2 linked regions of the Oryctolagus cuniculus genome follow. The protein of the gene in region 1 interacts with the protein of each later gene in a pairwise test. Links are inferred from orthologs where the notes say so. Each region holds a gene or a part of one and is shown in the gene's direction. Other genes may lie near its edges.

Region 1 (4,837 bases):
TGACCGAGACAGTGACAGACACAGACGGGAGAGTGACAGAGCAAGCCCCATCTGCCGTTCACCCCCCAGATGCCCGCACAGCAGGGGCTTGGCTGGAGCCAGGACCAGCAGCTCCGTCCAGGCCCTGTAGGTGAAGGGCTCAGCGCTGGGGCCCTCTCCTGCCCCCACCCCCGCCCCCGCCCCCAGCACTGGCAGTGCCCTGCGCCCCGCCCCACCGGTCCTTTACCCATAGCTGCAGAGAAAGTTCTAGAACCATGGCTGGGGCTTCACGGGGGAGGCCTCTCCTGGCCGTGCCGTGTGCACTTTTCCAAATGTCTGAGACCCCACCCCTGCCCTGCTGTGGGGGCCCCAGGATTTCTTTCTTTCTTTCTTTTTTTTTTTTTTTTTTTTTAAGTTTTATGTATTTATTTGAAAGTCAGAGTTACACAGAGAGAGGAGAGGCAGAGAGAGAGAGAGAGGTCTTCCATCCGCTGGTTCACTCCCCAGATGACCTCAACAGCCGGAGCTGTGCCGATTCAAAGCTAGGAGCCAGGAGCTTCTTCCGGGTCTCCCACGTGGGTGCAGGGGCCCAAGGACTTGAGCCACCTTCCACTGCTTTCCCAGGCCATGGTAGGAGCTGGGTTGGAAGTGGAGCAGCCGGGACTGGAACCGGCGCCCATATGGAATGCCGGCCCTGCAGGCGGCAGTTTTACCCGCTCTGCCACAGCGCCAGCCCCCTGGGTATTTGTTACCATGCCCCAGACCCCTCAGCGGCTCCTGGGACCCTGGCCCACGTTTTGTGAGTTGGGGTCTCCACCCCCGTGCAGACGGCCCCTGCTTGCAACTCATCCTGGAGGTTGCTGCACCTGTGTGTCTGTGAGAGACGTGGGTTCCGGAACGCTCCTGCTCTGGGTGGCGCCTGTCCTGTCTGTTTTCTAGAATGTTCTCTACTATGCCTGCTCTTCCTGTGACCAGGACGTCGCCCGCCTCTCTGTGTCCTCTCGTTCCTCACGGGGGACCCTCCCAGGAGTCCCGTCCACACCCAAGGCGGTCCCCTGGCCGGCAGCCGGGCTAGGGCCCAAGCCGCCTGATGGCTTCCCTTCCGTCCGAGGCGTTGCTGGCCCGTGATCTGCATGGAGCGTGTTCTGAGCTTTGTGCCCTGGCCTCCGTCCCTCCAAGAGGGTGGCATGCGCCCACACCCTAGCCCTGCCCCGCTCGTCCCGTGTTGGGGCAGCTTCCCCTCCCGCCCGGGCTCCTGGAGCCCAGCCCGTGTCGTCCCTGGCAGCACAGCAGGCACGCGAGGAGCCAGCCTCCGCCCTGACCGCAGCCCAGCGCTCGGCTGCTCGCGTGGTGGGGCTGGGCAGCAGGTGGGTCCTGGCGGGGCCACAGCCGGCACCGGGGCTGGGGAAGCGCACCTGCCCGCCCTGCACCGCTTCTCAGGGCCAAGCTCAGAGCAGCGGCTCCCAGGTTGCCGTCTCCCCTGGTGGCGGCCGGAATTCAGATCCAGAGACACCGCTGAGCTGGACTTGAAGCCGGACCAGAGGTGTGGCCACGGTGCATGTGTGCACAGCATTGTGTGTGGTTCCAGGCATCTCGTGTCACCCCTGCAGAGGGGACAGAGCTGGCTGTGGGGCTGACTCTGGCCACAAGGACGTGGGGCTCATGGGGTGCAGACACGGGGCTCGCGGTGGTCATGCGGCACCCACCACGGTGTTCACGCGGTGTTCACGCGGCACCTGTCTCCGTGGCCATGTGACACGGCTCACACGGTGGTCGTGTTCTGGTCTCATGGTGACCACGTGGCATGTGTCTCATGTGGGGTCTCCACCCGCAGGCCGTGTGGGGCAGGCGGTGGCGCTGCGGGCCAAGGCGTTCGGCTTCAGCGTGCTGTTCTACGACCCGTACCTGCCGGACGGCGTGGAGCGGGCGCTGGGGCTGCAGCGCGTGGGCACCCTGCAGGACCTGCTGTTCCACAGCGACTGCGTGACCCTGCACTGCGGCCTCAACGAGCACAACCACCACCTCATCAACGACTTCACCGTGAAGCAGGTGCCGCCGGGCCTGTACACTGTCCACGGGGCGGCCCTGTCCCCTGTCCATGGGGCCTGTCCACTGTCCATGGGGGCCTGTGCGTGGGGCGGCCCTGTCCACTGTCCACGGGGCCTGTCCACTGTCCACGGGGCTGCCCTGTGCACGGGGCCTGTGCACGGGGCTGCCCTGTCCACGGGGGTCTCTGCCTGTGGCCCTGTCCATGGGGCCTGTGCACGGGGTGGCCCTGTCCACGGGGTCTGTCCATGGGGCCTGTCCACGGGGCCTGTGCACGGGACTGCCCTGTCCACAGGGGCCTCTGCCTGTGGCCCTGTCCATGGGGCGGTCCTGCGGGGGCAGCCAGGTGGCCTCCTGCAGCTCCAGGCCTTTGATGGTCACTTGTTTGCTTGCTGCAGGGGGTGGGGGTGCACACGGGTCCACACGTATGGTGGAAGGGGCCTGCCACACCCTCTCTCCCATGGTCAAAGGGTGGGGGGGTGGTTGGAGCTGTGACAGGGAAGTGGCACAGGCAGTGGCACTGGGACCCAGGGCCAGGAGGACCTCGGGGTGAGGGGGGGCAGTCAGACGCTGACCGCAAGACGGGGCAGCCGGCTCCAGGGCCGTCTGTGAAGGCAAGAACGGCCCTGCCCTGGCACGGAGCTCCACACAGCCCACCCTGGCCGGGTCTGGCTGCCGGCCGGGGCCTCGCGGTGCTGAACTCCCTCCCCAGGGGGCGCTGCAGCCGCGGCTGGGCGGGCCGGGGCCGGGGCCGGGCCTCTTCCCCAGTGGCCCGGGGCGCTGCCTGGTGCCAGCCTCCCTGTCCATCCCCCAGATGCGGCAGGGGGCCTTCCTGGTGAACACGGCGCGAGGCGGCCTGGTGGACGAGAAGGCCTTGGCCCAGGCCCTCAAGGAGGGCCGGATCCGCGGCGCGGCGCTGGACGTGCACGAGTCGGAGCCCTTCAGGTGCGGGCTGCCCGGCGTCGGGGCTCTGTCTGCGTGGGTGGGCACGCGAGCCTGTGGCTGCAGGCCAGGGGCCTCTTGCTGGTCAGTGCCCTTGAGTGGCATCTGGCCTGGCCTCAGGCAGTCCCGCCGTGCTTGGTTCGGGCCCGGCCTTGGCCTTCACCGGGCTGACCTTCCTGGCTCTCGCTGGCCTGGGTGCTTGTGGCAGGACCTGAGCTCACTGGGGGCAGTGTCCTGGCCGCGGGGCTGGGCTGCGCTGACCAGTCCTTTGCCACCCCAGCTTTAGCCAAGGCCCCCTGAAAGACGCACCCAACCTCATCTGCACCCCGCACGCCGCATGGTACAGCGAGCAGGCGTCCATCGAGATGCGGGAGGAAGCGGCCCGCGAGATCCGCCGCGCCATCACAGGTGGGCGCCTCTGCCCCGTGGTCCTCACGCCTGGGGGAGGGGGAGGGGAGGGCGCCTCTGCCCTGTGGTCCCCACGCCCGGGGGAGGGGGAGGGGAGGGCGCCTCTGCCCCGTGGTCCCCACGCCCGGGGGAGGGGGAGGGGAGGGCGCCTCTGCCCCGTGGTCCCCACGCCCGGGGGAGGGGGAGGGGAGGGCGCCTCTGCCCCGTGGTCCCCACGCCCGGGGGAGGGGGAGGGGAGGGCGCCTCTGCCCCGTGGTCCCCACGCCCGGGGGAGGGGGAGGGGAGGACGCCTCTGCCCCGTGGTCCTCATGCCTGGGGGGGGCGCCTCTGCCCCGTGGTCCCCACGCCCGGGGGAGGGGGAGGGGAGGGCGCCTCTGCCCCGTGGTCCTCACGCCTGGGGGAGGGGGAGGGGAGGGCGCCTCTGCCCCGTGGTCCTCACGTCCAGGGGAGGGGGAGGGGGGGTGCCTCTGCCCCATGGTCCCTGCACCAGGGCTGGGGGAGCCCCTGGCGGGGGGAGGGCGCCTCTGCCCCGTGGCCTCCATGCCCGGGGGAGGGGGAGGGCCACGTGTGGCAGGCCTGTTTCTGAGCTGGTACCGTGGCCCCTGGCTGCTGTGTGCCAGGCCGGATCCCAGACAGCCTGAAGAACTGTGTCAACAAGGACCACCTGACAGCTGCCACTCACTGGGCCAGCATGGACCCCGCCGTGGTGCACCCCGAGCTCAACGGGGCTGCGTACAGGTGAGCAGGCGCCTCCAGGGCGCTGGGGGTCCCAGGCAGGCGCCAGGTGGCTGGGGTCTGGGGCAAGGCCCGTGCAGTGGGGATCTGTTCCCCTGAGTGGCCCGTGGGAGCCCGGGCCTCCTGGATGGACGTCAGGACAGGGCGGGCTTAGGCCTGGGGGGCACGCGGGAGCGAGGACTGAGCAGGGGTCTGGGGTGCAGCGAGGACCTCATGGCTGAGTCACTGGGCAGGACTCCGTGCCCCTGCTCTGAGGAAGCCCCCACGGTGGGGGGTCTCCTGGGGAGAGCCCCTCCTCACCCCACATCCGTGCTGCAGCCTCAGTAAGCCTGCGGGGGCAGGTGGGGTGGGGCTGTGAGGGGGCGTGGCTTCCAGGGTGGGGTGGGTGTGGCTGCCAGGGTGAGTGGGGCTGTGAGGGTGGGCGGGGTGTGGCTGTGGGGGTGGCTGTGAGGGCGGGCGGGGTGGGGCTGTGAGGGGGCGTGGCTGCGAGGGCCGGGGGGGGGGTGGGGCTGTGGGGGCGTGGCTTCCAGGGTGGGGTGGGTGTGGCTGCCAGGGTGAGTGGGGCTGTGAGGGGGCGTGGCTGTGAGGGTGGGCGGGGTGTGGCTGTGGGGGTGGCTTCCAGGGCAGGCGGGGTGGGTGGGGCTGTGGGGGTGTGGCTTCCAGGGTGGGCGGGGTGTGGCTGTGGGGGTGGCTGTGAGGGCGGGCGGGGTGGGGCTGTGGGGGTGGC
Region 2 (6,246 bases), on another chromosome or scaffold:
AAACACTTTATAGGACTTCATTAGATAAGAGACTTGGTTGCCATTTGGTAACAGAAATCAGAATAGAGAATGGCCAAATTAAGATTCCATTATTCAGTGATTGGAATAGGAAATTCCAACAGTGTGTAGAATGTAATTAAGATACTAAGGCTTAATTACTAACCAAGACTTAATGCAGACTTCATAGGTAGATTGTATCATCTCTCTGTTAGACTCCTTTGAATTCAGACATCAGCTACAAGCTCTGCAGTTCCCAGACTACCCCTACTTTTGACAACTGGCAATAGATTCTGCTGCCCCTTCAGATTTTCTAAGTTGTTAAAATGACTCACAGAAGTAAAATTTTTATTATAAAATGATTGAAAAGAACATACTCATGGGTTAAGACCTAGGAGGGTCCCAAATTCAAAGCTTCCCTGTTCCCAAGATGCACCAACGAGGAAGCCCAGCAGAACTTTTATATATTAATGATTTCATTGTATTTTCATTTTATAGTCAACATTGATTGAATCCTTGGTAATGTGATTGAGCTCAGTTTCCACTGACCATCCCCCAACTAAGATATCAGAATTATAACCACTACCCTCTTACCTTGGTGTTTTGTGGTAGGGCTGGGCACCATCCTGAGTCATCGGAGTAGCATAAACTCAGATGTGATCTGAAGAATTCACTTGGAATAAAAAGATAATCCCCCTTTGGGGTAAATTTCTAGAATTTAGAAGTTACCTCCCCTGAACTAGGGACCATGGCCTGCTAAACTCTTCATCCAACAGTGTGATGAAAATGTTGAAAAACTATGAAGTAGAAAATCTTTTACCACTGTCCACATTTCCAAATCCAACTGCTAATGAATATTTTTGTTTACTGATGAAGCTTCAGAAAGTTTGTTGAAAAATGGAATTAAAAGTTGTTGTGGGGAGCAGACTTTTGGCTCAGCAGATTAAGCAGCTGCTTAGACACATGCAGCATTCTGTATCAGAGTGCTGGTTTGAGTCTTGGCTTCTCTTTTTTTTTTTTTTTTTTCCTAGCCAGCTTCCTGCTAATATGCCTGGGAAGGTAGCAGAAGATGACCCAACAGTTTGGTTCTCTGCCACCCATGTGTGAGACTAGGATAGTGTTCCTGGCTCCTGTCTTCAACCTGGCCCAGACCTGGCTGTTGGTGCCATTTCGGGGATCGATCTGTATCTCTTTCCACCTTTCTCCATCTCTTGGTTGCTCTGCCTTTCAAATAAACAAACAAATCTTAGGGTGAATATTCCATGAAACTTTTGAAGCCTCCTCTTATCTCTTTTTTTCCTTTATCAACAAGGGCATAATTGTTGGTGATTTCTCCTCCTGTGTCCTAGGCATGTCTTGTTGCATAACAAACTAAATTTCTACATCTCTTCTGTTCAGGATCAGGTTACTGATCCACAGGGGTATGTTGAGGTCTTTTCTTTAAAATGCCCTGCTTATTCATAGATGTATGATTTACCTAGTTTTGGAGCTCTTCAACAAGCTGTACCCTTGAGGTGCTTTTTTTCGGGTGGTGATATTTTAGGAGTATCAGTATGGATGATTGCCTTGAAAATGCATTACCAAATTCTTCACCCAGCCTATGGGAGAAAAGATGGTTTCCACATAGGATGATTGTAAATTGAGTGGCCATGATGCTGATACTTTTTCTGCAGAACTAACAACTCTTGGTCTTTTGGGTCTTTGGAAATATTCCTAGACTGGGTAAGTATTCACTGTTTCCTCGCACATCCTTGTGTTCAGAGACTTTTGTTTTATTTTATAGTTTCCTAACAAAGTAATGGCATTCTCTGAGCATTAAAGCAGATTGTCATAAATAGAAGAGTCTGTGTATTCTTTGATATGATTAATATTAATAAATATTTTTGTCATTTATGTATACTATGCTCTTATCATAGGTGTCAGTTGTACCCAAGACGTTCTCAACAGCAGCAAGTACCTGTGGTGGATTTCCAGGCGGAACTAAGACAGGCATTCTTAGCCGAGACACCAAGAGGTGGTTAAAGCAGTATTGGAATATCAAGGTAGCTGACTTCTAAGCAAAAACCAGGTTAGAGCTGATGTAGTAATGATGAGAAAATAAATCATTGAAAAAAAGGGTGTTTGGTGTTCATTTAGTAATCTGGGCACTTGAAAAGACTTTTTTTTTTAAAAATAAATACTTCTTATAAAAAAGCAAATTACATAAAGATTTTAAAAGAGTAAAAGAAAATCCTTAATGTTCCTGCCATGACAATGTTTTTGTGTCCCAATCTTTGTGGTGTGTGCTTTTTGGATAGTTTTATTTATGTTCTATTTGATTTTCAACTTTACCTTATATATAAAAAAAAAAAACTGTTAGTTAATGCTTTATAATTCTCCTTTGTGAGTGATTTAATTATTTTGCAAGAGTTTGTAAAGTAACATTAGTTTTCATTGCCATAAAATAGTGTGCTATTTAAAATACACTTACCAGTCTTATTATAATTATAATATCATTTATACTTATTGAATATACCATCATTATCAAGATTATTAGAGAATCTAAATATTTCCTTGGTTATTCACTAACTACTTCTTTCATTGTTTTGTCTTTTTTCTCACTTTTCTGTTTTCACCAATGTATTTCTTACTGGAATCAGCAGACAATGCAATAAAGATTATCCATAAATTTTTAATGTGATGTAGATTTATTTACTGTTTATGTTGATTTATATTTTCTAGAAAGTTATTCACATTGATTCAGTACCTTGTTTTTACTTCATTTTTTTCTGTTTTAAAAATAGAATGCCCTTATTTCAGAGAATTTGCTATATACTGTTTAGAAAATAGAATCAGAAAGGGTATATGGGTGAATTCTCTACTAGATTTTTATTTCTGTTTTTGAAATGTTGCCCCTCAACTTGAATTAATTAGGACTGTTTATGGCTACTATATTGAATTTAAATCTGAGAAGACATATTTTCTGAGAACTCCTCCCTGTTGAATCCTCAATATCCAACATTCCAAGATGAACTTTGTTGCAAATAAGCTAGGGAATCTGAAAATTGCCCCTCAGGGCATTTTTCAATGAGTAGGCACACACACAGTTGATTTTCTTTGTGTCTAGACATTTTTTGGCTTCTCAGTTGAGTTAGAATACTCTTGAAAACTTCTAAGTATGTTATTTAAATTACGTATTAGCATCTGCCAGTAGAACCATTTCATTTTCTCATATTTAATCATATCCTATGTTATTCTGTGTCCAACTGCTAGTTTCACCTAAACAGTGATAGCTATTAGGCTTTCATTAGAGTAGGAGTTAGTATCTGTCCCACTACATATTTTTGTAGATTTTTATTGATCTATAGCTATGTCTATGTAAGGCTCATGGCTACATGACACTACAGTGTCAATTTTTTGACAGATCAGATGATAGGGATAGCATGAAATATTTAATATCTTGTTCTTTTATATAAAAACATCTACTGATCATTATTTTAGAGACACAGATTAATTGAAAACACCACGGTGGTGCCAAGGGGTATAGCAAAGTGCTGAAGAAAGGGATTATTGAAAGATTGTATATGAAGTATGTAGAATACTAGGTATTTCTGCAGTAAGAGAAGGGTCTGGAAATCATATGGATTTCACTTGAAGGGTACTTTAATAATTGATACCTTCCTATTTTAATTATAAACATCTGAACAATGTGATAGCCAGGAAAATTGGAAAGTAAATTTATGAATATTACAGATTGAGCATCCTTAATTCTCAAACTTGTAACTGAAAATAATACAAAATTTTTTGAGCACTGACACCCCTGGTGGAAAATTCCAAACACCATGACTCTTTTCATGCACGAAAGTACCATATAAAATGACTGTATGCTATGTGGGTAAGTTGTATATGAAACATTATTTTGCAGATGCCAATAATCACGTATAAAATAATCTGAAATGCAAGATATGTCTGATTCCAAGCATCTTGGAAAAGGGATATTGAACCTCTAGTTTTGTTTCTTGGTACAAAAGGATAAGTATCCAAGTGTGGGTATAATATTAGAGTGAATCTTTTTCTTTTTAAAAATATTTATGGTTTGAAATACAAAGATGAACGAATGGACAGAGATCTCATCCACTGATTCACTTCCTAAATAACTGAAACAGGCAGGGTGGGACAGGCCAAAACCAGCAGTCAGGAATTCAATCTGGGTCTCCCATGTAGGTTGCAGGTACCCAAATACTTGAGCCTCCACAAGATACAGTGTTTGCAGAATGCTGGAATATGGAGTGAAGCCAGGACACCAATGTAGGTACTATGATGTGGTATCCAGTTATCCTAATGGTATCTTAACTACTATGCCAGATGATTTCCCCTGGAATGATTTTTAAATGCATCACAGGAAGTCTTGATTGATGTGAACATTCCTAGACTAGAGGTAGGTATTTGGACATTTGTGTTCAGTATCAGAGTACCTGGATTTGATTCACAGCTCTGACTCCTGACTCCAGCTTAGTACTAAAACAGCTCTAGTAGAGAGTGGTGATGGCATGAGTTATTGGGTTCCTGCCACCCACAAAGGAGACCTGGATTCCAATTTATGAGAGCTCTCTGTGTCTTTCTGTCTCAAATAATTAATACAAACTTTAAAAGTGGTTAGTTTCTCTTTACAACTCTTAGTTTTTAAATAAACACTTCCAATGAAGGAAAGTATGTGGTATTTAGTTGGCCGTGCTCTGTGGAAGAATATTTTCAAATTAGTTGTATATTCTCCCATTCTTTATTGTTCAGGACATCTATTCACAGGCTTAAACTTCTCTTATTCATTATGTTATTTTGGGTCAGAGATTACACATGATTGAAGTAGTAGTTCAGTCTCCTTGTTTGAATAGTTGCCTGTGATTTTCTCATGAATTTTAGATAATGTGTTACCTCATGTACAAACATTGGATCTTGGGCACTGGAGTATTCTTGATGCCATTTCTGTAGATATAAGTAGGTACATAGATAGTATAATCTGTTATCAGTCGTCTTACAGAGCAGTATAGACAGTATATTGAGGGAATAAGCAGATTGTTTACCATAAACTTTAAAAAGAATGCATGAAAGCTTGTATGTGGAAAATGTAGGTTGTTGGGTATACTGAAAAATTGTTAGGGATTTCTTGGATCTTAAGATCTAAGAACTCTCAAGATCTCATGGAATGTCTTACTGCAATTAAGCTTCTAGAACTATAGGAAACATCCCTTAAACATCTTAGAACTTTATGGAAAGAGTTATCACGTATTTTTATGTTCTTTTATATGTTGGCATAAAATTCCATATGTGCTCAAAACTTATTTTACTTTATTGTTTTGGTGTTCATGTAGTTTATAGTCATGATTTTAATGATTATTTTCAAACCATGAAGTACTCAGAATATACCTAACATTTAATGTGCTGTTTCAAAATTTTATCTATTGGAAACAGTGAAGAACAATCCTAGTGGAATTTAGCTTTTAATATGATTCTATTTTTATATTTAACTCCAAATTCCTACTCAAAAATAATATAATTTGTGTCTCTTTGTACCATCAGCAGTTTCAGCCACTGAATAAGATGCTGGCTAAATTTGATTGCCATATTGATAGCATTTTTTTTTTTTACAAAAAGTAATGGTGAAAATGTTAATTTGTTATGCATGACGCTTTGATAAACAAGAAAGCTGTCAATGAGCTTCTGTTAAGTAGTTATGTATCAGCCTTTGACATAGAAAGTCTTAAGCACGTTCATAATACATTTGGTTCTAGGTGAGGGAAGACTACATTTGAAGGTGCTCTTTGGGAAGGAAAGAATATTACAGCTGAATATTTAGGTTGTTCAAACAAAAAGTATCAACAACAAAATCTTTTTTTTTAATTTATTTATTTGACAGGTAGATTTATAGACAGAAACAGAGAGCAAGGTCTTCCTTCCGTTAGTTGACTCCCCAAATGGCCACCATAACCGGCGCTGTATGGGTCTGAAGCCAGCAGACAGGTGCCTCCTCCTGGTCTCCCATGGGGGTGCAGAGGCCCAAACACTTGGGCCATCCTCCACTGCCTTCCTGGGCCACAGCAGAGAGCTGGACTGGAAGAGGAGCAACCGGGACTAGAACCCGGCGCCCATATGGGATGCTGGCGCGGCGCCTCAGGCAGAGGATTAACCAAGTGAGCCAGGGTGCTGGCCCCACAACAAAATCTTGAACTAACTCAGGAATAATTTGTGTTATAAATACGTGAGATACTTAAT

The links. The genes of interacting proteins can lie anywhere in the genome.
Region 2: the proteins of CTBP1 (region 1) and SNRPN interact in a two-hybrid assay, tested with the Homo sapiens proteins (2 studies listed by BioGRID and IntAct). The link is inferred for Oryctolagus cuniculus from reciprocal best matches to the Homo sapiens genes CTBP1 and SNRPN.

The regions. Positions count from the first base shown.
Region 1 is NC_091433.1:407,820-412,656, reverse strand, and holds part of CTBP1 (C-terminal-binding protein 1), read left to right. Parts: intron 1-1,813; coding exon 1,814-2,028; intron 2,029-2,839; coding exon 2,840-2,970; intron 2,971-3,247; coding exon 3,248-3,375; intron 3,376-3,995; coding exon 3,996-4,113; intron 4,114-4,837. UniProt on the Homo sapiens protein: Corepressor targeting diverse transcription regulators such as GLIS2 or BCL6. Has dehydrogenase activity. Involved in controlling the equilibrium between tubular and stacked structures in the Golgi complex.
Region 2 is NC_091443.1:13,810,176-13,816,421, forward strand, and holds the start of SNRPN (small nuclear ribonucleoprotein-associated protein N), read left to right. Parts: upstream 1-2,019; 5' UTR 2,020-2,039; exon of another isoform or gene 2,040-2,065; intron 2,066-2,636; exon of another isoform or gene 2,637-2,672; intron 2,673-4,212; exon of another isoform or gene 4,213-4,284; intron 4,285-6,246. Other genes in the region: SNURF (SNRPN upstream reading frame protein), read left to right, coding at 1,914-2,019.